7 linked regions of the Coturnix japonica genome follow. The protein of the gene in region 3 interacts with the protein of the main gene of each other region in a pairwise test. Links are inferred from orthologs where the notes say so. Each region holds a gene or a part of one and is shown on either strand. Other genes may lie near its edges.

The links.
Region 1: the proteins of DISC1 (region 3) and XPNPEP1 interact in a two-hybrid assay, tested with the Homo sapiens proteins (2 studies listed by BioGRID and IntAct). The link is inferred for Coturnix japonica from reciprocal best matches to the Homo sapiens genes DISC1 and XPNPEP1.
Region 2: the proteins of DISC1 (region 3) and KIF3A interact in binary tests that used the Homo sapiens proteins (3 or more experiments, as listed by UniProt). The link is inferred for Coturnix japonica from reciprocal best matches to the Homo sapiens genes DISC1 and KIF3A.
Region 4: the proteins of DISC1 (region 3) and RABGAP1 interact in a two-hybrid assay, tested with the Homo sapiens proteins (2 studies listed by BioGRID and IntAct). The link is inferred for Coturnix japonica from reciprocal best matches to the Homo sapiens genes DISC1 and RABGAP1.
Region 5: the proteins of DISC1 (region 3) and BICD1 interact in a two-hybrid assay, tested with the Homo sapiens proteins (2 studies listed by BioGRID and IntAct). The link is inferred for Coturnix japonica from reciprocal best matches to the Homo sapiens genes DISC1 and BICD1.
Region 6: the proteins of DISC1 (region 3) and SRGAP2 interact in a two-hybrid assay, tested with the Homo sapiens proteins (2 studies listed by BioGRID and IntAct). The link is inferred for Coturnix japonica from reciprocal best matches to the Homo sapiens genes DISC1 and SRGAP2.
Region 7: the proteins of DISC1 (region 3) and FBXO41 interact in a two-hybrid assay, tested with the Homo sapiens proteins (2 studies listed by BioGRID and IntAct). The link is inferred for Coturnix japonica from reciprocal best matches to the Homo sapiens genes DISC1 and FBXO41.

Annotation. Positions count from the first base shown.
Region 1 is NC_029521.1:22,662,548-22,666,822, forward strand, and holds the start of XPNPEP1 (xaa-Pro aminopeptidase 1), read right to left. Parts: upstream 2,801-4,275; 5' UTR 2,714-2,800; intron 2,193-2,713; 5' UTR 2,163-2,192; coding exon 2,104-2,162; intron 1-2,103. UniProt on the Homo sapiens protein: Metalloaminopeptidase that catalyzes the removal of a penultimate prolyl residue from the N-termini of peptides, such as Arg-Pro-Pro. Contributes to the degradation of bradykinin.
Region 2 is NC_029528.1:1,213,919-1,218,213, reverse strand, and holds the start of KIF3A (kinesin-like protein KIF3A), read right to left. Parts: upstream 2,801-4,295; 5' UTR 2,649-2,800; coding exon 2,640-2,648; intron 2,265-2,639; coding exon 1,982-2,264; intron 647-1,981; coding exon 502-646; intron 301-501; coding exon 216-300; intron 1-215. UniProt on the Homo sapiens protein: Microtubule-based anterograde translocator for membranous organelles. Plus end-directed microtubule sliding activity in vitro. Plays a role in primary cilia formation. Plays a role in centriole cohesion and subdistal appendage organization and function.
Region 3 is NC_029518.1:35,635,106-35,638,605, forward strand, and holds part of DISC1 (disrupted in schizophrenia 1 protein), read right to left. Parts: intron 2,924-3,500; coding exon 1,941-2,923; intron 1-1,940. UniProt on the Homo sapiens protein: Involved in the regulation of multiple aspects of embryonic and adult neurogenesis. Required for neural progenitor proliferation in the ventrical/subventrical zone during embryonic brain development and in the adult dentate gyrus of the hippocampus.
Region 4 is NC_029532.1:7,280,013-7,284,238, reverse strand, and holds the start of RABGAP1 (rab GTPase-activating protein 1), read right to left. Parts: upstream 2,801-4,226; 5' UTR 2,707-2,800; intron 2,377-2,706; exon of another isoform or gene 2,249-2,376; intron 1-2,248. Other genes in the region: ZBTB26 (zinc finger and BTB domain-containing protein 26), read left to right, coding at 2,832-2,893, 3,138-3,197. UniProt on the Homo sapiens protein: May act as a GTPase-activating protein of RAB6A. May play a role in microtubule nucleation by centrosome. May participate in a RAB6A-mediated pathway involved in the metaphase-anaphase transition.
Region 5 is NC_029516.1:53,354,492-53,357,991, reverse strand, and holds part of BICD1 (protein bicaudal D homolog 1), read right to left. Parts: intron 782-3,500; coding exon 1-781. UniProt on the Homo sapiens protein: Regulates coat complex coatomer protein I (COPI)-independent Golgi-endoplasmic reticulum transport by recruiting the dynein-dynactin motor complex.
Region 6 is NC_029541.1:2,718,039-2,721,538, forward strand, and holds part of SRGAP2 (SLIT-ROBO Rho GTPase-activating protein 2), read left to right. Parts: intron 1-486; coding exon 487-870; 3' UTR 871-3,500. UniProt on the Homo sapiens protein: Postsynaptic RAC1 GTPase activating protein (GAP) that plays a key role in neuronal morphogenesis and migration mainly during development of the cerebral cortex. Regulates excitatory and inhibitory synapse maturation and density in cortical pyramidal neurons.
Region 7 is NC_029519.1:81,245,492-81,249,670, reverse strand, and holds the start of FBXO41 (F-box only protein 41), read right to left. Parts: upstream 2,801-4,179; 5' UTR 2,268-2,800; intron 1-2,267. UniProt on the Homo sapiens protein: Substrate-recognition component of the SCF (SKP1-CUL1-F-box protein)-type E3 ubiquitin ligase complex.

The sequences.
Region 1 (4,275 bases), on a different chromosome or scaffold from region 3:
CTCGTGAAAGATAGGTTTGCTGAGCTTAACATGCATTCCATCCCTTCATGGCAGCTCAGATATGCCCAACAGCTTGAGGAGCCCTGTGACAACCAAGGAACATCCTAGAATGTGATGTTAAATGTTCCAGATCCCCACATATCAGAAGTAACCCCACACACAGGAAGAAACTTTCAGTCTTTTCACTCTGGGGGTAGAAATATTGTGGCTTACATGCCACATACATACACACTGCTGGGAGAGCAGGCCATGCATTCTGGGGACTCAGAAATGGACCAGTTAAGAAAGCAGTTTTTAACACTTTCACTGTAGCCCAGGATTTCATACTGGACTGGGGATCAGATTAACTCAGATAGAAGAAATCTGTTCCCAAGGACTGAAGAATTTCACTGGGTGCATTCACCTCTGGGCTGCAGGCCAGCTCACACAGCAAGAACACAACTGTAATAGGAGGAATGGCCCAATGAGCTCCTACAGGTGACTGCAAGGGGACTTAAGGCAGCTTAAAGGAACATCCTCTAAAGACCTTTGGCAAAAGCTCCACACAACTCAGCTGGGACCCAGCAGGCAGGAGTGGGGCACAGGTGGATGGAAGGGAAAACAAGCATACAGGTCAATCACAACCTCTTGCTGTGGTTATGCAATAGGTGAGTCTTTGGTGAGGGAAGGAATGTCAACCTCTCTGTTTGCTACCCAAAAACCACAAGTAGCTGGAGCCTGCTGTGAGCACCATGCAGAGATGCAGGAAGCCATGCTGCTGTGCTGGCATGCACAGAGGCTGCAGTGGCAGGCACCTGCTCACTGCAGAGAATGTGCAAGCTGTGCAGGAGGCTTGGTCTGAAAGTCTATGACGATTAAGTAACTTGAACATCTTCAGAGATTGTCTCCATTTTCTTTACTCATGTCTCTCTATCAGTGCCTAAGAAAACAAAAATCCCCTTCCCAATCCTCTACCCATTTATTTCTAATTTTTAAGGACAGACTGGGATCTTGTAACTTCAGTGCTACCAAATTCTAGGGCAAGGTGGATAAGCTCAGTGTTCCCTGAATGTCAGTGCTAAGCAGTACTTCATTCTGACTAGTTTGTTTAACAACTCACTTCACAGACATGTCCACAAACAGATTATAGATGACAGAAGCAAATAGCATGCAAATACTTTTTACTTATCCATGCTCTTACTCTATTTACACCTCAGTAGCCACCAAAAGCCCTAAGAAACATCACGGTCCTGTGCCAAAACACAATAAGGTACAGTCTCTGCCCTGTGATGTTTTGTCATCTAAACAGGAAGGCTGCCTCCAAGAAAGGCAACGTGATTTGACAAAGGCCACACAGCAACACTGTGACCAAGCCAAGAGCTGAATCAAAATCTGCTGCTTTCAGGTGTAAAGATCTCAACCTGAGTCTCCCGTTTACACCTCAGCACAACAGGTTCTTAGCACACCAGATGAGTAACAACCCAGCTGCCCCCAGGTAGTGTTTTAAAATCCAGAACACAAGAAACAAATAAAGATAATAAGTCACCATTCTCTCTACCATCAAATTGATAACTTGACCACAGTGCTTTCAATGGGATTAGATTATACCTCAGATTTATTTCCAAGACAAAATTTGTATTCTTTTTCTGCAGTTTGCAAGCTTTACTGTACTGTGATCATTTCTGCATCCTCTGTAAGAAGTTCCTGTAACATTCTACAACACCACAGCTGATCTCTGTTCAGAAAAACACAGAGGTAAAGGAGCAATGAGGACACAACTTTCTTTCTAGACCTGTGCTTTGACCCCAGGAGCCAGAAAGTCTCATTTGAACAGGCAAGGAATGACAAGGCTTTGCCTTTTAATAAAGCCCCTTGCTGACAAGCCAAGATTTTCCTAAGCTATTTTCTCTGAGATCTTTGGTTATCATTCACTCTGGTCTTCCTATAAATTTCTGCAGGTGGTCTTTCCTTCCATAGCCGTAACTGTAACCTGCGTGAAGCTAACACAGCTTATTATTATTTAATCATTTCAGTGGTTAAAACCAAACAGAGTTCAATTAACGGTGCAGGGTACGGTCTCATTCCCCTCCCTACCCTTCCAGAGGTACCACACCACCCCATTACCTGCCCACGCTGCTCCCCACGTCTGGACTCCTCTTGCTTCCCCTCACACCAAGCACCATTCAGCAACTTGCCCGGCCTTAGAAATGTCCCTGAGAAAGCAAAGGGCAGAAGTGAAACGCAGCACAACCTTCACCCCCCATAAAACGTTCTTATATGCCAGCACAAGGCTCAAAACGCCTTCGGGCTGTAATTCAGTGCCGAGGCGGCCGGGCCTGCTGGGCCTTGTGATTAAATCCTGTGTATTTTTACACCGATTTGTTTCTGCAGCCGCTCTGACAGCGTTCAGCGTTTTACAGAAGGGAACGCTAAGGCCGAACAGCAGCAACAACACAGCAGCGCTGCAGGGAGATGGAAGCAGCAGAACCCTCAAGGTGCCCGTGTGGTACACGATCTATACACCACACATCAGTCAGCCCCCAGGGAACAGGCAGAGACACGGGACCGGAGCCGGCCTCCACAGGCCGTGGCTGACAGACAGAAGCCGGCGAAGCGGCTGAGGGGGCCGCCCCGTGCTCCGTCCCGCCCAGGCCCCTCCTGCCGCCCACCGCCCCGCTCGGGCCGGGCCTGACCACCCCCCATCACCCACCCATCGCCTCCCCATGGCCCTCACCTGCCGCCGGCCCCACCACCACGTCAGAGCCCACGTGCACCACCGCCGGCCGCCGCCGATGACGTGACGGAGCAGCGCCGGGTCACGGCACGACGGAACGGGGGGGCGGCTCCATCACAGAGGAGCTGCTTCCTGCGGGGTTATGGAACCTGAAAGAACGGCTACATGGGGGTCAGGAAGCATTTTGTAGGCATCTGATGAAGCCGGTGACAAGTCCACTGCAGCAGGAAGCACCCAGCCCGTTTGGCAGGTGGAAGATGTATAAAAATATTGTGGTATTACTGCATTTTCTGCCCTGTGGTGCAGACCAAGACAGCAAGAAGACCTAAACCCTCGAGTTCCCAGTGCCAGGGCCCTTATTTCACCCACAGAATCACAGAATTATCGAGGTTGGAAAAGACCTAGAAGATCATCTAGTCCAACCATTACCAATACTTCCTGGCTAAATCATATTCCTCAGCACCACATCCAAGCGTTTCTTGAACACTCCCATGGTCGGTGACTCCACCACCTCCCTGGGCAGTGCATTCCAATGCCTGACTACTCTTTCCGGAAACTAATACTTCCTAATGTCCAGCCTGAATCTCCCCTGACACAGCTTAAAACCATTCCCTCTAGTTCTATCACTGATTACACGAGAGAAGAGGCCAACCCCCAGCTCACTACAACCCCCCTTCAGGAAGTTATAGAGAGCTATAAGGTCTCCCCTGAGCCTCCTCTTCTCCAGGCTGAACAATCCTAGCTCCCTCAGCCGCTCCTCGTAAGGCCTGTGCTCCAAACCCCTCACCAGCTTCACCCAGCAGACCTAGAGAGCTCCAGGCTCCTAAGTCCAAGTTAATGCCCCAGCTTTACTTCATCTGGTCCAGAGATGCCCTCATCAGGCAGGGAAAACCACTGGATGTTCAGCATCATGGTTCAACCAGTGTCCCGACCCAGCAGGACCAGTGTCAGGCCTGTGGGTGAGCACAGTGAGGGCTCAGGGTGCTGAGATGCAGCCCTATGGATGCTGATGGATCTTTAGGCTGAAAGAGCCAGCAGAGGACTCTTGGCAGCACTGCTCGTTTCACTTGAATAGTAAATGACTGGTAAGTTAAATAAGAGAAAGTGAAATGAGCTTTCCTGTTAAGCCCAAATGCTTATTTCCTGGATGTTCTGGGTCTCTGGGAAGCTTCTAATGAGCTTTCCAGTGTAGATAATGTAAAATATTTTAATAATTCATTTATCGAGCAGTAATGTGAATGATATATAATCTGAAATGATTGAAGAGATGAAACTGGCTTTTCTAAGCAGTTGCTGAATCTCAGTTAAATGATGCAACTTCTGTTACAAAGGTGTTTTATGAAAACTGTTCAAAATCACAGCATCACAGAATTGTAGGAGTTGGAAGGGACCTCCAGAGATCATCGAGCTCCTAACTAAATTGTCCTAATTGAGCTATCTTTTATGTTCTTACAATGCTATATTCTATCAGATTGCATATGAGAAGGAGAGAGAGAGGGCAGTCTGGCAAATAGCAACCAAAACTGCCTGAGACCAATTGCCATGTGACAGAGCCATTAACT
Region 2 (4,295 bases), on a different chromosome or scaffold from region 3:
ACTCAGCAGAAAGTCAGTTTCTCACTGTACAACAGAACAAATTGAAAAGACTCAGAGAAAACAGTGGTGACATCCAACTGCTACTGTATCTTAAAGGAAACAATGCACATGCTGAGGAGTCCAACCTCCCAGCTCCCTTCAGATGCTCTCTGGTCTTCACAATAATATTGCTCGAGGATGTGGAACAAGCACTGGAGTCAGAACAGCAGGCTCACCTCTAACCTCTGTGACTGGTCTTTTCCTAGCAGGTCCCGCACTTCTTCATTGTAAATTTCCAGGTAAGACACACGAACTAAAAACCTGAAGGCAAACAGTTGTGAAGCTTTCTTAATAAGGTATTTGTAAATATAAGTCTAGGAGACATAAAATGCAAAGAAAAAGCACCCATATATAAATACATTCCAGCCACCCCATCAAGAATGGCCAAGGTCATTGCTGAGGTCAGACTTCTTCTACAGATGTACAAACAAAAGACAGGAGCAGTAAAGGGAAGCTGTTTACCTCGTATCCCCCTCTGCTTTGGCAATGTGACCAAATATATGGGCGAAGGAATTTGGAATGATGCCTCTAAGCTCAGGAACTGCTCTGACCCCTTCCATGGTAAAAGTTTTGCCTGTTCCAGTCTGCCCATATGCAAAAATGGTGCCTGAAGAACAAGAACATATTAATGAACACCACGAAGTTGCTATAACTGCAATTTTACCTCATCAATCCTAAGCCTGATAGCACTGAACACATTTTTATGAACTTGAAACTTTTCACCCCCTACAGTATGTAATATTCAATGCTATGAGAAACAGAAATGCTGGACAACCATAGCAAAAAATGTTCAAGCCACTGCTTTATCCAGCCTGCAAAATATTTAAGAAAAAGTCAGCTTGTTTTAGCTTTATAAAGCAATTAAAGGATTGAGAACCGGTACACTTAGGGCTCACACGCAAATAATTAAAATCAGACTAATTAATAGCATTGTCAATTAGAGAAATATCATTACAAACCAACCACAAAACCAACGACTGCTAGCACTTTAAGCCACAGCAGAAACATGAGGCTCCTACAACGCAGGACACAGTACAAGTGTCCAGTTCTGAGCCTGCAAATGCAGCCACAATTTGGACTAGACAACCATCCCCAAGGGAACCAGTGAGAAAGTTTACTGAAATCTCAGCTCAGACATTCCAGAAACACACAGGTTAACTAATTTTTTCCCCAGCACAAATTAAGCTCAACTCAAATTAAGCTTTTGCTTTCATTGCTAAGTCACTGGTATTACTATTGAGAGGAATTTTAATCAGCTGAAGATGGGTGTGTTAGCACAAAAGCTTATTAAGTATTTTGCAAACCTTTAAAAACCTTCTTAATCTGGCACTTACAGCACGGATGAAAAGCAGTTACAGAAAGCAGTAATTTGTTACCTTACTGGTGTATTCTTTCTTCTACATGTAGTATTTACATGCATAACAAACACAAACCACAGACATATTCTTCCCAGCTGCAGGAAGCAACCAATTATCTGCCAGGCAGGGCTGATGTGGGTAACTAGTCATCTTAGTTTGGAACAGCAAGTTTTAGAGATGAAAATGCAGCACTTAGACGCACAAGAAGAACACTCATACCTAGATACTGCAGGACCATGGCAGCTGCTGCGTTACTGAAACTGCATAGCGAAGAGTCGCTGAGAATTCTGATAATGAAATAAAGCTTTTTTTCTTTTGCAGACAGAAGACAGAGAATGAAAACACACAGCTCACCAACCTCAGCCAAGACTGCTCACTACTATCTCCCACTGTTAGCAATCTCAGCACGTACCAACACGGTGGGTACTTAGTAAGGAGTAACTTTTGGTTGCTGTAGGTCAGAGGCCAGAATAGAAACAACAGAGAGATGTGGCCCTAGTAAGAGAAGGCTCCCTGCTGATCATCAGGGACACCAACAACACAAGGAACACAGATGGGAACACTGAAATAAACCAGGAATTTACCATTGTAGCCTTCTAGGACGGAGTCAATAATAGGTCTCGCAGTCAGGTTATAGACATCCAGTTGCTTACTCTCTGGTCCAAAAACAGTGTCAAATGTAAATGACTTGGGAGGTTCATTGGACGAGTCTGTTTTGTGGACGGTGATAGTTCCTCTCATCTCATCCACACTAACTGCCATTTTGTACCCCGTCGCTTTCTCTCGCTCATTAAGGGGCCGACATCGAACAACCACCTTGACATTATCACAGCTCTCTGGCCTGTCCGGCTTCTCAGGCTTGTTGATCTGCAATTATGAAAAGGCAAAACACTCACAAGCTGCGGCATCACTGTCACAAGCCCATGTGCTTAAGCTGTCCATGCATACTTCTCAGCAGAATCATAAAAGCCACGCTTAGACAAGAACTGCTATATAATTAAAGCTAAGGGAATACAGCTAAGGGAATACCCTGCACTTAATCAGTCAGAGCAATCTTCTGTTTGCAAATGTGGAAACCAATCAAGTAAAACCTGCAAATTTCATTCATCTGTGAAATTCTTCAGCAAACAGCTTTGTGCCTGCAAACAGCTTGCTGCAAGCTGAGGCTTTTGTGCCACTCCTTTAAATTCATAGAGCTCGCTGTCTGAATAGCGAGCACAAGGAAACAGCCTCAGAGCTCACCGATGACATCAGCAGATCGCAGCGAGCTGAAGGGAATTCAAACAGGCTCCAGTGCGTTCGCTGAACGTTCACCACTTTGAGAACTCCAAGGTCGGCTCACAGGACTTCACGTCACCTTTCTCTCCCAGGTACAGACGTGGATTTTGACACTAAACTAACTGACAACGCTGTCAATGCTCCACCTGACAGCGGCGCTCCGAGGTGCCGCCCCACGGGCTGATGCCGTGGATCAGCTGCTTCTAAACCCGCCCCTCGGGTACCAGCACGGCACACACCGCCCGCAGCTCCTGACACCGACCCGCAGCGCCGTCAGCACAGGGAGCGCCAAGATGCTCCCAGGGTTGGGGCACACGGCGCACTGCGGTGACACGGAGCATCGCGCCGTCATCCTCAGGCCCCAGCCGGGCCTGCGCAGCCCCTCACATCCCTACGGGCCGCGGCTGCCGTCAGTGAGAGTCCAAGAGGGAGGGGAGCGGCCTGTAGCGGCCTGTATCACCCCCATCCCCATCCCGCCCCACTCCCCCGTGTCCCGGCCGTACTCACGGGCATGGCAGCCCCTCACACACACACACACGGATCAGCGCCGCTCTCAAGAGCCGCACAACGGCACAATAACAGCACCGCGCCTGCGCCCGCCCCCCGCCGCCACGGGCCGCGGCCAATCCCCGCGCGCTGCGGAGGCCGCGCAGCCAATGGCTCGCAAGGAAAGGAGGAGCACGGCCCGCCCCCTGCAGCCGCGGGGGTAGGGCGGCAGCCAATGGGGTGGGCGGAAAGGGGGAGGTGGGAGGGGCGAGGCCGGGGCTGGGCGTCGCCATGGGAACCGCGGGGATGCGGCCTGGACGGCTCCAACGCCCCGACGTGTGGCCGGGTCGGAACCGCGGAACCACGAGCCCCGGGAGCAGCATGTGGCGCTGCGGGGGGGCCATGGACACGGTGCCGGGACGGGCCCGGCGCGCTCCCTCCCGTTACGCGGTACCGGCCGCCCCGCAGCTCCGTGGGCCGGGCCGTGCTGTGCGCAGCCGCGGAGGCTGAGGGCGGTGCGGCCCCGCCCGGCCGAGTCCCGCGGAGCTGCCGCCTCTCCCCGCCCTGTGCCCGGCCACAACAGGGACGGACCGCGGCGGGGCACAGCGGGACCGGTAAGGACGGGGGGGTACTGCGGGAAACGAGGGGCAGTGTAGTTCCATGGGACGGTGGCGGTGAAGTTGTAGGGGAGCCTTGAATGAACGATTTCCCCTCCAGATACAAAAAGAGAAACATTTTCAGACCCGCTCGGATAAACCTCACCCGGTTTATTATCATCCCTTTGCTGCAGCGGTCCGGGCTGTCGGGCTCGGCTGCTCTGTGAGATGCGGTCGGAGCCGTGTGTGCTTCCCTGTGTGCAGTGAAACGCTCGATCTGCAGCTTTAGAAACCAGCAACAGTTTCCAGAGGATTCCCGCAGTTTAGGGCGATTGATGGCACAGAGACCTCATCCAATAAAGCACAAGTTCTAGATCGGACAGCTTTGTTTTCCGCTGTTCAAGAGACACTCAAATAGAAGTATTGAAATACTTCTTCTCAGGTTCTTGCTGCCCTTTAGATAGGAACATTCAGATACCTGTATTTCACACATACACACATAGTCCGGAGAGTGCTGTATCTATAGTGATGCTGTTGC
Region 3 (3,500 bases):
ACTGTTTATTCCATCATGGGCACCCAATGGCAGGTCATTTAAAAATCTGCTTGGGTACTGCAGTACAACCATGCCCATGGCTAAGTGACTGATGCTGCGACAATCAAGTGCTTCTGTTTGCAGGCTAGAAAGATATCTAGAGCCCAACTACCAAAAGAGCTGCTTCAGATCAGAACCTCCTAAACTTGTACCAGGTGATGAGTACCCTCTTAATTAGAATAAGCACAGAAGAAGCATAGTTTTAACAACTTTGGTACTGTCTCCTTTTTCTGACTACAGTTGCCTTTGTTCCCTTATGAAAAGTTTGCGAGTTGCTCATTATCATTGCAATAGGAAGGTGTTTCAAATTAAACACCCAGGACTAAGGGCAAAGACATCTGAAGGCACAATTCCCCAATTCTCCATTCAATGAATTAATGAATACAGAAATTAAAGATAGCAGTGTTTCTTTGTGCCTATCAAATAAGTAGACTGAAAAGACAGAAAATCATTTTGTACTTTTATTATGTTATATATTCCCAGATTCGTAGAGAATTAATTTCCCAAGCTATTGCACGCTATGAGAACATTGCCATTCCAGGCCTGAAGCCAAAACAGTTGCTGCACGGAAATGCATGTAAAGTCTGTATTAGCGTGCAAGAAAACTTAGTTTGGCTCCTACATGCATCCACAAAAAATAGGGATCACAGACTGTTGTAAAGCTTGGTCAGATGACACAGACAAAAAAGAATTATGTTCCTCAACCTACTGCCTTACCCAGATAAAAGGGCTGTGAAGAGCCACCCTAATCCCTTAGGCCTGAAGACAATAGTGCATCTCAATAGATGCACCTGTGCTGTCACAAGAGTTGGCTTTCCATTCTAGGGTTAGCACAGATAGCATGGGCAGAACTCTATCAAGTGCATCTTTCTATGTGAGAGGCACAAACATCACAGGCATTGCTCCACAGTGCTCAGGGCACTAGTGAGAGTCTCAACAAGAACACCACTCACACACAGTGGAATTTTAAGACTATTAAAATTTATGAGATCCAGTGTGTCCATACTAATCTACAGATTACCACTTCCTGAGCACACAACGGAGCCAAAGTCTGGCTCCTCATTGCATCTAGGCTCATAATTGCTTCCTCTCCCCTGCCATCCCAAAAATATCAAAGATTAGGAAAAATAAATTCTACCATACAATAAAAAGAATAACAGATCCTTTTTAAGGTTTCCCCACTGCCATCCCACAAAGAATACAGCGAATGAGGCTACTTGTATATACAGCAAGTACATATTGGGTATGCAGACACATTAAAAAAAAATATGGCTTCTGAATCAACAGCCCATAACACTTGTTAGGTGGAAGAAAAAAAGATGTTTAATTCCCAGCCTGAATTAGAGCAGAGAATGGAACCCCATCTATCATCACATGCAGAGTGTAATTGTGTATTAGTTTGAAGGCTACGCTAACACGAACCTTTCCCCTAGAAATCTTTGGCTAAGTTTACACATTTTCAATTACAAAGTTCAGTTTCATTAAAAATCACAATGCTTCAAGGAAAAAGGTGTTACCACCTTCAAGTTTTGCTCTACGCGTACTCCAACCTGCAGACAAAAAAAAAAAAAAAGCCTCTTGCAAAAGCAGCCCTTGCTGAATTCCAAGTTAACATATGACATTAGAAATAGAAATGAGGGTCATAGTCTCAGGAAGCCATAGGAGCCAATTACTACAATATCATCACTTTGTTGGGTTTCTCTTGTTTTGCTTCTTCTAAAAAGAAAATACATGCTGGTTCCTTCATTTTTAAATTACACAGATACTGAAAGCTTCTATGAAAAAGTACTGTGAAACCCATTAGTATCCCTGCACTCACATCAAATTAAGACACTGACACTATAAATATACATGTTTTGGGGGCCAAATGGAGGAATCAAAGATGAAGTGAGATTACAAACCTTTAACGTACTCCAGTTGCCAAGCTGGCAGTCCAGTAGTGCTGGTTCATACCTTTTTATAAAAGCATCCCAGTTTTGGTCACTGACACTAAAACTACTTTCATAGCCTGAGGTAACAGAGGAACCAGCAGATGCCGCATCTGAGGAATCTGTAGAATATGACAGTGTTGCATCCGTATCAGAGAGAGAGACAGTCTCACAATCCTGAAGTTTATAATTTGCTGTGGTCTCATTTTCAGACTTCAAAGCCTCACTGGGCTTAGAGAAGCAACACAAAGCCCCTGAGTGCTCCTGAGATCTTGTTGTCTCTCCTGGCTCCTGAAGATCTCTGGTGCTGCTGGGATGCAGAAGGATGGGCAGAACTCGATCTGCCTTGATTTCAGCATCGCTTACTCCAGAGGCTGAGTTCAGAGAGAGCTGTATGAAGCTGAAACTTGAACAAAAACTATCACGTGGACCAACAGAACAAGAAATAGCTTCTCTGTTTTGATATTCACAGTTATTATTCACCTCTGCCTGATCCAAGGCATGTATCTTTTGGGGCTCATTCACTTCAGTTCCATGGTTCATCTGGCACGTACCACTCGCAGTAGAAACACCTTTGCTTGTTGTTTCAGCAGGGTAAATCAATGCTATGTTTTCTGACCATGCCTTCTTGGAATATGAAAGATTTTTGCAACTTCCTGACATATTTACAGTAGTGCCCAACGTTGTTAACCCATCAGCAAGAACTACAGCACTACTTGCAGTTGAACTACAGCGTAAGAACTCAACATTATTTTTGTGCTGTCTGCAGAGAGAGAAGTCCTCCAGCTCCTCACAGTGCCTCTTGTCATGTTTGAACTCCTCTGGTAGGAAGGGCTTGCAGGCACCCAGAGACTGAAACTGGAGCTGTTGCTGAGCCTCTGGCCTCATGTATCCAGGTCTTTTTGCCAGTTTCTTTTTACAAAGATTACCTGAAGGCATTAAGTGCTCTAGACCATCTGGAGGGGGTAAGAAAAAATAAAAGCTTAAATCAGTAAAGCATTTCTGCAGTTTCATAAGGGTAATATATTGTAGCATTCAAAAATAATTACTCCAGAAATTTCAGACAATGCATCAGTTTCCACTTTAACAAAAGAAAGATGTTGTCTGTATTGCAGACAGACACGATAAGGTGTTACCAGATAACTGTGCACATTCACTCACTTTCTAAAGAGTTTGCACTTGCTTTTATGTGAGCTCACTGATACAACAGGACACAAACCCATCCACACTGAATCAGTGGCTTCCCTATTCATTGCAGTGCTCTGCAATTCCTTATTCTCAGATCACTTACAGCACAGAACTTATTTAGTCTCACTGATACAGAACAATTTTCAGACATACAATCACAGGACCAAATATGCATCAAAAAACAAGGGAAAAGCACTCAAATTTTGCACATAGCTTGTTATTCCTGATGTCTAGCTCTCTGCATTTTATTAATACAAGCATTTCAAATTCAGCTTCCAGAACAGCTGCAGCTCTTTAGCAGTCTGTGACTGCGTATCTGTTATTATAGTAACATATTTTAAAATC
Region 4 (4,226 bases), on a different chromosome or scaffold from region 3:
TAGAGAGAAAAGGTGATCTTTTCTCATTCAGAACCCTTTCAGCTTTTACACTTCTGAAGCAGTTCCTACAGCAATTGCACAAAGCACAGCGTGGCTGAGGGATGCACCAGATACAGAGGAACGATACAGCAACGTGTCTTAAATTACTGAAAACAAAATTAACTTAAACAAAGTTAAAAAGCTTGGCATGCAGGAGAAACCTATAACCACTACCCCTAAAAATAATAAACACCCACTACATACAATGCTAAAAATCACTAAATGCAGGAAGCAGCAGGACACTGAGCAGACTGACTCCATATGAATTCATCACTGAAAGTAACATCATTTCTGGTTCTATTTCTCTGCTGTAACAGAACTCAACAACAACCACAGCCCAACGTGAGCAGTTGTTCTCCTTCCCTGGATTCCATTATCTGCAACTCAGTCAGGGTAAAAGGTGGAATTTATAGCGGAGTTCAGAAGCTTTATGAAGGACTGCCCAAAGCTGGTCTGTAACAAATAGGCATCATTCTTTAGAATCGCTGGCTCTTTACAGGCTTTGACACCTCTGGTATTTTTCCCCCTCGCTTTCAAATAATGCACATGTATTGCTTTATACACAGAGAGTCCTGAAAAAAAAAAAGCCTGGCAAGTGCTAAAGCACAGCACTGTGTGACAGGCAGCTGCCCAGATTTTCTGTCTGAGCAGAGCAAGAAATTGTAAGAACAAAACTGGTGCCACGCTGACAGACATGTGGGAAAGGAGCTGTGGTTTGAATTCTCCTGAGCACATACCTGCAGCAGTGTTCTACTGCAGCTGTGGGAAAAACAACATGCAAGGAAGATCAATCAGCAGCAGCCTTCTTCTTCTCACGTATCACATGCTCTGCCTGCATAACCCTATGTTTGATCTTCACCCACCACTCCTTCAAGGAAACTGCTACAGCCTCGCCTTCCCCGTGCAGAACATTCTCAAAGGCAATGAGAAGCAGTTTGCACTCAGAACGAAGCAATAAAACCATTGAAATACTGCATGTGAAAATAAAGACTCTGGATGACTAAAGGGAGCAAATGATATACAAGTAGCAACTACAATGCTACACCTTCTGAGCATTTTAAAGGCCTCGGACAGCCACAGAGGTTCCCACAAAGCTCAAGAGAAGGACACGACCAGGAGGTAGCACTGCCTCACATCCAGCCCCACTGCCCCGTGGGCACAGAGAAGCTCAGACTGCAGGGGAATCATTGCCCATTTCATGCAAAACCAGGAATCAAACAACACACAGGGGTTCAGCTAATGCAATGTTTGTTAACACTCCTTAGCTGAGTCATAATTTTGCTTTTACCCTTAATTTGAACTCAGATGAGAGAACTCTAGGCTCCTGTACCGAGCAGATCCTCCAGTTCCAGAAACAAAGTGCAGGCCCTGGGAAAGGCGGCACAGAGAAGAAACACAGCTGCTGCCTCGGGCAGCCCAGCCCAGAGCGGTGTGTGGGGAGCTGCCCAGGAGTGCCCTATGCACACCCTGCTGGGACAGGCAGGCAGAGCACAGGGCAGGGGCACCCAGCCAAAAGGCAACGCTCCATGACCCTCTGCAACCCACTCATCACAACCGATGTGAACACAGCGCTTCACTCACCAGTCACACACGGCACTTTAAGAACATGCTGTGAGAAGTGAAGAAAAAACACAAGTCGCATGCAACACATGCAGCTAAAAGCTGCCCGCCCTCGGTGCTGGAAAGGGAAGGAAAGCCCAATGCCAGGCTCCATTTGTTAACGTGCTTTCTGTGTACACAGAACGAAGTCTGCTCAGGTCCTTGACCTTTCTACACTCAGTAGCAGCCTTCAGAAGTAAAAGCACAGTGTTTGTGATGTGCCCGCTGCTGCCAGGCGTTATTTTAAAACAAAGTAGACAAGAACATCACCAATCGCACCAACACTTAACAAACCCAGCAGCAGTTGTTGGGGATCACAGCCCCAGCTGCACGCAGCATCACAGCCGTGCATTACTCGGTGCCCAGTTTGTGTCTTAGCAATAAATGCAATTCCTCCTTTCTCTCCCAAACTTCTCTCCCGTCGCTCTCTCCTCCCGAGCAGAACCGCGCAGAGGAAACCCACACACGGTATTTCCACCCGTTCCACTCCCGCTCCATCACTGTCAAAACGGATTTTTAACCCGACTGCAGCCGGTCCGTTTATTTACACTTCGATTCGCCCCAACCCGACGCGGCCCTCGGCGCTGCCCCGCCGGGCTCCGGCACGTACTTGCCAATAGGAAGGGAAAACCCGAACGAAACGCCGCCGCTGCGGCACACGGGGCAGAAAGGGGCTCCGGAGAGCACGGAGAGCACGGAGCGCCGCGGATCGGGACCCGCCAAACGCCGCGGATCGGGGACGACGGACGCACGGAGCGGCCCCGGAACAGCGCGGGGAGCGGGGAGAGACGCGGCCTCCCCCGGCCCGGGCCCGGCTGTGGGCAGCGCCCGGCGGGTGGGCTCCGCTCCGGGACAGCGCACGCGGGGGATGGAAACACCGCAGCGGCAGAAGCGGAGGAGAGGGCGGGCCGCAGGAGGCCTCCGCTGCTCTCCCACCGGCGGGAGGCGAGGAACCGCGGGGCGGCACCGCGCGCGGCCCGGTACCGGGGAGGGGGCGAGGGCCGGCGGCGGTGGAGCGGCCCGAGGGAGGGGGCGCGGGAGCCCGGCCGGCAGCGCGACCCCACCTACCCCGGCCGCCGCCGCCGCCGCCTCCCGGTGCCGGGCCTGGGCCGCCGCTGCCGCCCACCACGTGACCGGGCGGAGGGGGCGGGCGCCCCGTGAGGCGCTTCCGGGTGCGGGGCGGAGGGCGCGGGATGCGCTTCCGGCGGCCGAACAATGCGGTTCCGAGTCGCCGTCGCGGGCGCTGGCGGCAGCCGTAGGTCCCGGCGGGCGCGCGGGGCGCGGGGCGCGGCCCCGGAGCGGGGCCCGGAGCGGGGAGCGGCTCCCGCCCCCCCCGCCGCCGCCGCCTCCGCCGCGGGCCGACTCCGGAGGGCGGCCGGGCCCGGCCGAGAGCGCGGTGGGGCGCGGGGCCGCCCGGGGGGCGCGGCCGACGGCAGGGCCGGGGCGGCGCGGTGCCAGCCCCGGGCGGCGGCTCACGGCGGCTCTCCTCCCCTCTCTAGGTCCGTAGCCGGGGGTAGCGGCAGCGGGTGCCGGCGGGGTGACGCGGCCCGGCGCTCCAGGTAACGCGGCCCTTCCCTCCGTGCGCGGCGGCGTGGGTCGGGGGGCGGCGGGCAGCACCGCAACACGAGCGGCCGGGGCCGTTCCGGGGCCGTTCCGCAGGCGATAAAGCGGCTCCGCTCTGCTCGGGCGCAGCTCCGGCTCGGGCTGCGAAAGGTGCAGCGTTTGTTGCTTGGCTTCTTGGCGTCCTTAGAGCCCGACAGCGGGAGCTTAACGCGCGTGAAGGCAGTTGCTCGTTTTCTGTGCGCATTCTCTTACGATGCGGCTCTCGTTGCCCCGGAGGTGAAGTGTGTCAGGCAGCGCTGGACTCGGGGCCACTCGGACACGTGTGGCTGCACGGTCCGTAGGCATAACACAGTCGGTTGTGCTTCTGGTGCTGCCGCCCTCTCTGAGCGTTGGTCCGTAGTTAAGCGAACTATTGAAATCCTGTTGTGATTTCTGTACATCACACGCTGGTAGATGTGTGTGGTGCGCTTAAGTAGTAAAGAGAGCACGTCTCAACACGACATTGTATCAGAACATTGAAACAACTCAGTCTGTCAGCAGATAGTTCTGAAAATGTTCCTCTTGGAACCATCATCTTGTGCATTCAGTCATTTACAGGAGGCACAGCTCCATTTCCTCTTGTGTGTGTTGAGCTAATATTTCATGTCCCAAGAGAGCAGTATCTGCTTTTATCTATAAACTTCAAAGTTTCCTTTCCAGCTTAATGTGGTGTTGGTAATACTTGTGAGGTGTAAGTCTGGGGTTGTTTTGCTGTTGCATCTCACCAAACCTTGTGTCATTTGGTCGATCTTCTGTGATTCTTTTGCTTCCTGCAGTCACAATTCTCTGTCAGGATTGCATGAAGTTTCATCAAGAATCAGTGTAGCCTTATAAACTCTTCAGAGAACTGTTGCCAGACAACACATCAATATTTGTCTTGTAGAAAACCCACCGTTTTTCATTCCAAATAGAACAAAATTCCTCGAGGAGTGGTCTTTCAAAGAATGCAAGAAACAAGACTTCCTACATTCCCCACATACTCAAAT
Region 5 (3,500 bases), on a different chromosome or scaffold from region 3:
TCGTTGGGCTTTGATCCTTGCCAGGCTCTGCGGCCTCTTTTGTCACCTGCTCAGTCGGAGTCCTGGCTTCTACAGGTGATGCCATTCCCCTTCTGGCAAGCCGCGGGGAAAGAAGACCCCGTGGGTCATCCGGGCCTTTCAGGCTGCCACTGCGGGTAACTCTGCTCTGCCTGTAATAGTCCAACATGACCCTGTTAGGAGTCTCATTGTTGCACAGGCAGACGTGATGGTAGAGCTGAGCCAGCTCCTCACTAAACGTTACCAGCTCGTCTTGGGCGGTGTTGAGGGTATTGTGGTTTTCATTCGCTATGCTTGTCATCCTTTGCAATTCCTTTTCCATGTGCACCATCTTTTCCTGGCTTTCCTTGGTTGACTTCTCTAGGCTTGTCACCTGTTCATCATAAGTCTGGATTCTGCTCTCATACTTGGCCTTCTCTTCAGTGTAGTTTTCCACAGAATTATTATATTTCTCCTTTAAGGCTTTGATTTCTGCTTTAAGGTCTATCACTTCCGTAACAGCTACTTTGTATTTACATTCTAGGATCTCCAAACCATTGATATCCACTTCGTAGTCATGTGCTTCCTCACTGGGGTCTCGCCCCTTCTCACAGTCATGCTCTGCTTTCAGCTCCTTGTTGCTCTGCAGACCCCTCATGGCGTTGACGTGCTCTGTAAGCCTGTGGACTCGCTCATGTTGTTCAGTCAGGGCTCCTTTGGTGTGCTCCAGCTGCGTCTGAGATTCCTGCAGGTTGGCCAGGAGAATGGCCTTTTCTCTTTCCACCTGCAACAGAGGCAAAGTAAAACACCTGGCATCTTGTCCTACCTGTGTTTTTCTGCTCAACACCAAACATTTGCCAGACACATTCACTACATCCACTCCCACACTCTGCATATACATCATGAGGGGTTCCAAAAGACATAATATTGAATGTATACCCCTAAATCATAAAACTGTGCTACCATTTGCAGCATTGTTAGGTCACAATTTTACACATTGCTCACTGAAGAATGAGTGCCCAAGCACTAAGGGTAGTCAGCAAGAGTAATGATACTGGATTGATCAAGACGTATGTTCTCTGAAATTTAATAGGCGTAACTGCATCATTGTAACTAACAGTCCACTGATTCTGACCTAGTAAGTTCCTCACTGAATATCCACAGAGAAATAAGGATGTTGAAAAGAAGAAGAGGTCCTGAAGGACCCTTTTTGAAGTTTGAATAGACCACATCTTGAAGCAAGCAATCAAGAAAAACGTAATGTTTGATCTGCTCAGATGTTCATTACTTATGATAATAGCTCTGAATGAATCTCTTTATAATTTTAGCACAGTACTCCAACTTCTTTTTACTTTTATTTTCTCTGCCTTTTTCCTTTTCTGAGCTGTGAATTGGGAAGCAGATGATACAGGATGCTTCTTGCTCTCATGGCTTCTGCAGTAGGATCCAGAGCCTATTAGGCTGACTGCTTTTTCTCTCTCACTGCTGTGGTATTTCAGCCCAATGTTTATACACGCAGACAAAATGTCGTGTTCCACACTTCCACTGTGAGTGGCTGAATTGCTAATTCAGAGAAATCAAAGCTGTCCCTTCTGAAGTACCCTTAAAAAAGCACTGCCTTCTCTATCAGCATCCCTCCAGGCAGCATTTGGAAGAGTCAAAACAGCCACCATGAAACTCAGTGACGGAAGAGCAAAGCCTTTTAGATACTCTGAGGATAGCAACACCATCTCACAAAATGTTCCAAGCAGTGGTTCAAACTCCTATTATCTCATACCAAGGATTTCAAGCAGTGGCTGCTGCTCAGAAATACCAAAGTATTAGACTTACGATGATCCCTTGGTTTTACAGACAGGCTTTCAAAACACGGTTTCAATTACAACCTGCAAGGGACTGCAGGTAAATATTGTAAGGATGAAAACAGAAGCCACATTAAAAACATCTCAAAATTGTCCTCATATATTATTTTTTATGTACAGGTGACTGATGACTCAAGAAGAAAAAACAGGGTGAAAGCTCATCATTATTTTATGATCCAAAAAATATTAGCCTCTTTAGATAAAGGCAGCTCCACGTAGGCACTGCATAGCCTGTGCTGTAGCACGGAGGAAGACAGCAGAGGGCAATGAGTACATCATCAATACAACCGTTGCCTACTTGCTGCCCCCATCTGCCTTTAGCCTGCATTACCAAAGAGCAGGCCTTCCATTAAGCACCTTGGTGTTAAAGAGGCACTCTGTTGCAGAGTCTGCCTAATTTCATCAGACAGAACTGAAACTGATGGATTATTGATCTCAGCCATCATGAAGAAAAACTACATCAGAGATAGTAGATACATTTATGGCCATTTTTCTGCTGAACGTAAATGGCTTGTGGGAACAAATACTTCTTTCAAACAGAAAGGATTGTTTCCAGAGAAAATACACAAATTTAAAACCCATCTGCCAGCCTGGACAGTAGGTGAAATGAAACACACAGACCTACTGAATTTTATTCATCCTAGTCCAGTAATTATGGATGAAGCTAATCCACTTCTGTTTGATGAACAATACGTGCTCCTACTTCCAAGGAGAAAAGAACAAAGCTCCAACTGCACTTGGAGTACTCCTTCTGAATAGTAATAGCTCTGCTGTTTCTAAGGTCAGAAACTGTATTTCATGTTTGCGACCTATTTTTATTTCCACATAGAGGAAAATTCTGGGAATAGAGTACCACATTTTTCAGTCAGTCTGTTTGTTTGTTGATGAAATTAGCAGCTGCAGAAATTATCCATGCCACAATCTTAAAGTGAAAATAAAAGCAATTCAAAAGCAGTTGTACCCATTTTGAAATGCATTCTTCCTTTCAAAGATCTCAGCTAGAGGAGACTTCCTTCCAATTTGTTTGATAGTCTGCAGTACTGAAAGCCAATTTTATCATTGCTATTTATCGTTTATCTCTTCTAGGAGCCAACACAGAACACAGCGCTAGCATCCCAAAGTTGCAAGAGGAACTTAGCCTATCACGCTAGCTCTTCTGGTACATGTTTCTTTTTGAGCTTGCGGAGTGAAAAACTTGCCACAAACAGGTACAAAAGGGAAATGTTTGATTCTCTCAAAAAAGGAGCCCGCTCTCCTAATGACATAAGCATACTTCCCAAGAGAGGGTCATCTTCAGAAGCTCTATCCATCACAGTACATCTCCTTTGAGTAAATGAGAGGAGCATATGCCAAATGTTGAGATATAACTGTTTGAATGCCACATGGCAAAGAAATTGCTAAGGAGGAAAAAAAAACCAATTTTCTTGAAGAATTACCTTTTGTCAGCTTGAACCCAATTAAATCTCCCATTTATTGTGAGAAAATTTTTGGAGGAATTTTTCACAGTTAATTTGTGTGACTCAAGGTGAGTTGAGACAACCTAATAGAGCAGATGATTGCTTTAAAAAGAGAAAACATCAGCAGCTTGCAGCAAGCCTTCCCAGTATCTAAATAGAAGCATCCTGCTAGGCCTGTCTCTCTTTT
Region 6 (3,500 bases), on a different chromosome or scaffold from region 3:
CCTGTCACCATTACTGCCCACTGAGATGCTAAACCCTACCTCATAGCACCTCATTCAGATTCCAGCATTCAGTGTCAGCAGCCTCTTCCTTTCCTTTGCATATTTCCCCTCCTGAATCTCCCACAAGAACGGACCCATTGCACCACGTGCTTTTGTGTTTGCTGCTGCATTTTGGGATGGTAGTCATCTTTGAGATCCAAGCAGCATCTGGAGACATTGCTTGGGATTGGGATCTGTAAAGGATTGTGGAGTAGTGTTAGAATTGCCATTTATGCCCCATTTACTCAGTGTGTAACCTTACATAGCATGCATTTGTCATGGGGTTCACTTTGACACTTGAAGATGACCTTCCAGTTGACCTGCCAAGAAGATTTGAGTGCTGATTTTTACAAGGATGTGTAGTTCTCCAGCACTGAATTCTTCCTACTTACTTATGTGTCTGTGTCCCTTGACTTACACCTTTTCATTCTTCTTTTGTGTTTGCAGGACATTGAAGCCACGATGAACTCTGCTCTGAACGAGCTGCGGGAGCTGGAGCGGCAGAGCACCGTCAAGCACACACCAGATGTCGTCCTCGACACTTTGGAGCCTTTAAAAACATCCCCAGTTGTGGCCCCCACATCCGAGCCCTCCAGCCCCCTGCACACCCAGATCCTCAAGGACACTGAGCCAGCCTTCCAGCGCAGCGCCAGCACGGCAGGCGACATCCCTTGCACCTTCAGGCCAGTGAAATCAGTCAAAATGGCCACGCAGGTCAAACCCCCCGCAACGCGGCCAAAACCTACAGTTTTCCCCAAAACCAACACCACGAGCCCCAGCGTTGCCTCCTCTGCATCTCAGCAGCCTGCTGACAAGTCCTGTACTGTCTGATAAACCCGATGCTGCTCTGCGGGTACAGCCGCGTTGTTTCAGATGAAGAGACCGTGCTAAAGACGTTAGAATTCCTATTTAACTCCATCCTGAACTTGTGCTGAAGGTTTATGGTGAGCTGCTCCCTCCTGCTGGGTGCAGGCTCAGTGCTAACAGCCTCATCCTGGTGGTGTCCGTAAGGTGAAGCCCTTCGTGCCACGTGTGGGGAAATCCAATCCTGGGTCACTGTGAAGCTGAGGAGGAAAACACAACAGCACTGAGTTGGATCTTGGTTTCTCACTGACGCCTTGCTCCAAGCATTTGGCCGCTGGAGGGCATATTTGGCAGCATCATGTTTTGAGTACTGGTGTAGTGACTTTATATATTCCGTGTTTCGTTTATCGCAGGGGAACAATAGGGTAGGTTTTAGTCTATTGCATGTTTTGGTGCCACTCGTTTTTGTGGAGCTTGGACATGCCCCTTTCTTGTGCATTGTTAACGACGCTGGTGCCACTGTGGTTAAGGGTCTGTCTGGACTTCCATACCATCCTCGGGTTATGTTTGTTTGCTGCCCCATCCCTCCCTGCAGGGCTTTTATTCATCCAGCCTCGTCCTTTTATATGACACGTCATGAAAAATAGTTTCCTCTGGAACACTCTTAGGTTTTGTGGAATGATCCGTAATATGTGTATGTGCAAATATGAACAGATACGTTCCTGGGGTATAGGAGCATAACAAAGAACCCAGTTGTTGCTTATGGACAATCTGGCTGTTTTTCTCCTTGGCTCTCCCATATTTAAAAACAGCTTCATTGTTTTCCAGTGTACTTTTAGCCCATGGGCTGCGATGTGGTGTGTGGGCTCAGGAGACTGAATGTCAAAACAAGCAAACTTCTGCAATCCACCATCCTCTCATGGGGTTCCACTTCGTAACACACACATTCTTGTTTCGATCATGTATCAGGATGGATCCTTAACAAAAATCCCACTGATAAGCACTGTAAAACTTCAATCAGAAGTTCTCAAGCTCTGTATCTTTTCCCCTTTTACCCCCTCCATCATTCCTGGCTGTAAATGCTTCAGGGTGAGCTGCCTTGGGGTCTGCTCTCATAGAGCAGCACTGCGTGGGACGGTGCCATGGCAGCATGCAGCTTCTGGAGCTCCTGGTGGATGGCAGGCCTATGTAGGACTCCGGACATTGGAATGAACTCTTAGGACATGTATTTATATGGTAGGCAGCAAATGCTTCAGCTGCCAGCAGGTTGCATTGAGCTCTGATTGTGCTCTGCTGAGAATTGTCCACGGTGCAATTAACACTTATTTAATTCTTACAAAGGAAGGCACGTGTGCCACTCACAGCAATGAGGAGGAGCTCGTGGTCCTGCGGGAGGGGAGACGGACTGACCCTCACTCTGCATCATTCCCAAGCTTTTCTGGGATTTAAAAAGTAGCTGCACATCTGATGTTCTCATCGAGTAAATGCAAGCAAGGGCAGGATAAGAGAAGTTATTTTCATATCTTCCATTTTATCTTTTGGTTTGAAATCTATGTGTTTCTCACACTTGGCTTCCTTGTGACTGCAATGTCCTGATGATCAGCAATTGCAACAAGGAAAGAAACAAAACAGAACTTAACAAAGAACAGTTCCTTAAATGTACTTTTCTCTTGGATCGAAGGATGCTACTCAGAGAAGTGAAGGGGCTTTTATTGTGTCCTCATCCATCCCCACCCCTATAGAAGTCACACAGCCGTATTACACCCTGCTCCCTTATGGGCAGGATCCCCCAGCGACCAGCCAACATTGCTCTCAGGTTCTGATGGACTTCTACCACCAAGGAATCACTTGGGCTTTTGGGGAATAAGAACTGAACTCGCAATTTAATTTGCTCAGGCAGAACTTTCTGGCATTTACTTTACGTAGGGAATATTTTGCTTTAGTTTGTGTTTGGTCGCAAACGACCGATTACTCTGTGTCAAGAGCAGGATCTCTGTGAATTTTACTTTTGAACTCATTTGTAATGCCTTATTTTCTTTCTATTTTTATGCCTAGCATTGGTGTTTCTAAGAATTAAGTGTCCAGCCACACGCAGCACATCTGGAGGAGATGCTCTTTTCTGTCTTTGAGGTCTGAACGAGTGGGAATTGAGAGATAAAGACTTCAGGTTACTCTGTCTGTATATGAATAACTGTGCTTATCTCTAGCCTCCGCAGCTCTGGGACAATCCTACTGTCAAGAGGAATATGCTTAACAGGATAAACTGTATACCAAGCAACTCAACTGGAATTTTGGTGTGCACTGTGACTGACACTTAAACCTACAGCAAGCAATATGGCAGACTGGAGGACTTCTCCTCTTCTGCGTGGCCTGGGTTTATCCAGCCAGCAGGAAACGCACACAATATAGGGGGAACTGGAGAAGGAATTGGGTAGCTCAGCTCCTTCGCTCCATGAGCATCCCAGGCTGAGCATCATTTCCATTGTGGTTTATTGCCATGGGGCACTGGGGAGGTGGGGAAGGAAAACTGGAAACATCAACACCACCCTGCAGAGGCAGCGGGCATCTTGTACAGGAGATGATGGTGTGGATGAGGAAGGCACGGTGGTTTGCCTGGGGAGGTGTCACTCTTACTTCCTATCTTCGTGTTGAGAAGA
Region 7 (4,179 bases), on a different chromosome or scaffold from region 3:
TCCCTGTTTGCATCCCTTCTGTGTTTCTCCCACTCATACACAACCCCAGGGAGATCCACAACCCTTGGGAAGAGCCATAACCTTTGGCAAGATCCCCAACCTTTGGGAAGGTCCCCAACCCTTGGGAAAGTTCCCAGACCCTGGGAAGGTCCCCAACCTTTGGGAAGACCCACAACCCTTGGGAAGATCCACATGCACAACCCTTGGAAAAATCCAAAGCTCTTTGGAAGGTGCACAACCCTTGTGAAAGCTCACAGCCATCGGGAGGGTTCACAGTCATGGGGAAGGTGGACAACCCATGGGAAATCTCTGTCCATCAGCCCTTAGCTTGCTGCTGAGAGGTGTTTCATGTCCTTCATGCTGCAGGAAGCCTCTGTGGTACCAGGGATCTCCAGTCCAAGGAGCATCCCTGTGTCCAGATGGGTCTCATCTCCCAGCACAGGGTGACCCAGTCCTTTTACATCAGCCCGTGCAGCTTCACATCAGGATTTGTCTCCCACAGTTATTTCTTCAGCCCCTCACCACAACCATTAAGTCTCATCACTGCCTTGGGGATGTCACCATTTCATAGCTGTGATGGCATCACCCCATGGGTGCTGGGCTGTCCTTCTCCCATTCCTTCTTAGCCACAGGCACAGCTGATGCTCCTCCATCCCATTTCCCCCCCAGAATAACTCAGACTCATCAGGTTTGGCCTCTTTGCTGCCTGGACATAAACACCCAGACTCTCCCCAGAGATGTGATACGGAGATGGGACATTCCCATATGAAGGATCCCTGCTCCCCATGAGGTTTTGGCTCTCAAAACCCCCTCCAGAACTGTGGGACCCCCATGCTGCAGTGCTGTAGAGATGATCTCCATGGGGTTATCCCATGCTCCCAAATCCTCCATGGTATAAGGGGAAACCAAGCCCATGGGAAATGGGAGAAGCCAGCTGAAACCGAGCCACCAACACAGCACAGAGCTGGGAGCACCAGGCTATCACCTCCTCCTCTCTCAAGGAATTTGGTTTAATGATTTCAGGACATCACCATGCATGAAACCACTGGCCTGGCAGTGGAGTTCAGGCTTGAAATAAAACAGTTTATTTCTACCCCAAAGAGATACTGTAAGTGGTTCCCCACCCCAGAGCAATGAGGGGACCCAGGGTGGGAACATCACCTTCCATATCCCATAAAGGGTAATTCCCATCACCCTAAAACCCCTCAATACCCCAAAACCATGGAGCTTTGAGGGGGGGAATCCAGCACTGAGCTATCACCCATGCTCATCCCCAGGGTGGCTCAGAGCCATCTATGGCTCAGCACAACCCTTCCAAACCATTTTTTGTTCTTATAGGGTAAAATCAGGAAGGGAAAGAAATCCATGCAATAATAATAATAAAGATAATAATAATAATAAACCAGAGATGTGCTGGGAGGATGAATGGAGCTGCCTGGCTGCTCCTGCAGCCGTCTGCTGGCCTGGTTTGTATTTTAGGGTCGTTACAAAATGCATCTCTGCATGTTAACCCCGCCTGGACGAGCCGGAGCCCACCCAGCACAAAGCCAACAGGAACTTGGTTTCCATCGGGAGCCTTTTGTGGGATGATAAAGCGCTTTTCTGCCTTAGGGCCGGGGCCACAGCATCGTGCAGTGCTGATATTCCAGGCCTGGATTGCTGCCCGCGTCTCCCGGGGTACCCAACCCGCCTCGCTTTGCTTTGCGTTCTCCAGCCCTGAACCACCATCCAGCTCTGAACGCCGCATGGTCCCAGCCCTGGGCATGGCCGTGGGTCCGTACAAACCTTCCTTCTTCCCACCCCAAAATAATGATCGATAAAAGACTGAATGGGACCGCAGCCCCCCCCCTCTTCTCCTTCCCTCCCCCCCTCTCCTCCCCCCTAAGCTGAGCATTGATGGCAGAAAACCCCACAGCTGTGGGCTGCTCGGGTGCTGCTACCTGCGATCCATCATGGAGCCTTTCTTCGCATTGTTTAGCCTTATTTTTTTTTTTTTATTTTTTTTGGCTTCTTTCCCCGTTTCCCCACCTCGAAACGAAATCAAATATAGAGACCATCCATCTCCACCTGCTTGGTGGAAGGAGGGTGGAGGATGCCGGTCCCCATCCTTAGGATCCTTAGGGCTGCAGTGATGGCAGGGTGGGAGCAAGGATGGCCGAATCCCACCAGCGGGTCCCCCCTCTCCTCCCAGCTTTGTCCCCATCGCGTTCCCCCCCCGCTTTGGGGACAAAACACCCCCTCCCAGCGCAGCATCCTCTGCCCCATACCTGTTTCTCCGGGCTCCTCCGGCGAGGGCAGCATCTCTTTCCCTTTTCCCTTATCCTCGAGGATAAGTGAGGGGGTGGTGGTGGTGGGGGAGGCTCGGGGAGCGCCCACCCGCCCCGGTGCACAAAGGCTGCGGCTGCGGAGCGATTCAGGGCTTTGTCGGGGAGGAGAGATGTGGGGCCACAGGCCTCCGGCTCCCCGCGAGCAGCACCTCCATGGGGCCGGGGAAAGAGAGGGAGCGGGGGGGGGAGAATCTGTAGGGGGGCGAGAGGGGCGGGAGGAAGAGGAGGAGGAGGAGGGCAGAGGCTGAAGGCCCCGCTGGGAGGAGAGAGCGGGGACTCAAGGGGGGGGAGCTCCGCACGGGGAGCGGGAGGAGGACGGAGGGATGGATGGAGGGATGAGGGATGGAGGAAGGAGGGTCGGGAGGATGGAGGGATGGAGCGCCCGCAGCCGCCGCCTCCTCCTCCTTTGCAGCTCGGAGAGCCGCTCGCTGCTGCTTTCCTCCCGCACAGCTCCCTCTGCCTGTCTCCCCACGAACACTGCGGGCTCTCAGCCGGGTTTCGCTGCCATGCGGCACCCGCATTCCCCAACCCACAACCCCTCTGCCCGCTCTTCCGCTCTTCTGCCCCCCAGATCCATTCCCTGCCCTCTGCAGCACCCGCCTGGGATCGCCCCTCAGCACCCCCCCTCCCGCAGCATCCCATGGGCGTGTGTGGCCGTTTGCATCTGCATCACTGCATCCCCCATCCATGGGTGCAAGGAACATGGCTTCATCTGAAACATCCCCTGAGCATCCCAGCTTGGTCTTCGACTTGGACCTGCTCTGGTTCCTAAGCCCCCGTGTTTGGTACCTAAACTCCCAGATAGTCCTCAGGTTTGGTCCCCATCCAGAACCTGAGTGATCCAGGCTGCTTCTCAGCTTGGTCATAATCTGGTCCCCAAACAGCCTGACTTGGTCCCCGAGCATCCTGGCTTGGTTGCCAAACACTGAGCTCCCCAACTTGGTGCTGGTCTGGTCCCCAAGTGCCCAGCTTTGTCCTGATCCAGAGACTGAGACACCCACCTTGGTCATAGAATGGTCCTTAGTAGAGTCCTGGCCTGGGTCATGGTCCAGTATCAAACAATGCTTTGCATTGGAAGATCTCAGAGATCATCTAGTCCCAACCCCATTTTGGACCTCGGCTTGGTCCTGATCTATCCCCAAGCACCCCACAGCAGTCCTTGCCTTATTCCTCCTCCAGTCCCAAGCACCCCAATTTAGCCCTTGGTGCCAAAGCCACCCATCATGGTGTTCTTTTCCTTGTGAACACAGCTTTGGGGAGATGGTGTGGGGAGACAATTCTGAGGGACAAGCAGCCATCCCCATCCCCAAGAAACCCTGAAAGGTTGGGGTACAACCTGCCCCATCCTGTCCCCAGTCAGCTGCATCCTCCATCCCTTCCTCCCTCCTCCCTTGGCAGCTCTGGACTCGGAGCAGAGCTTGGAGGCTTTATGGAGCCCAGAGCTCTTGCAGAGCTTTCAGGCTCTCGTCAATAATAGATGCACTTTGGGAGGGGTATTAATAAAGCCTCATGCATGATGCATGGCTGAGTGGCGTAGGGGAATTGTGTGTGTCCCCTCCTGGTGTAGCATTGCAGTGGGTGCCAGCAGGAACAAGGCCAGAGGGGATGAGCACCCCTGGGTGCCAATGAAGGGCTAAGATTAAGGATAGGTCCAAGGGGACATTTAGGACTTAGGGCACCAGGTACAACTGCCCCCATCCCACCTCTATGCAGCCCTAAAGGACCTTCTGTCCAAGATCCCAACCTCACTTCCCACCCCATGATGTGGGACAGTGGGTTCTGTGGGGCAGAAACATGGGATAATGGTGTCCCTCATCCCTGGAAGGATGAGGCTGCAGCCCAGATGTCTGGG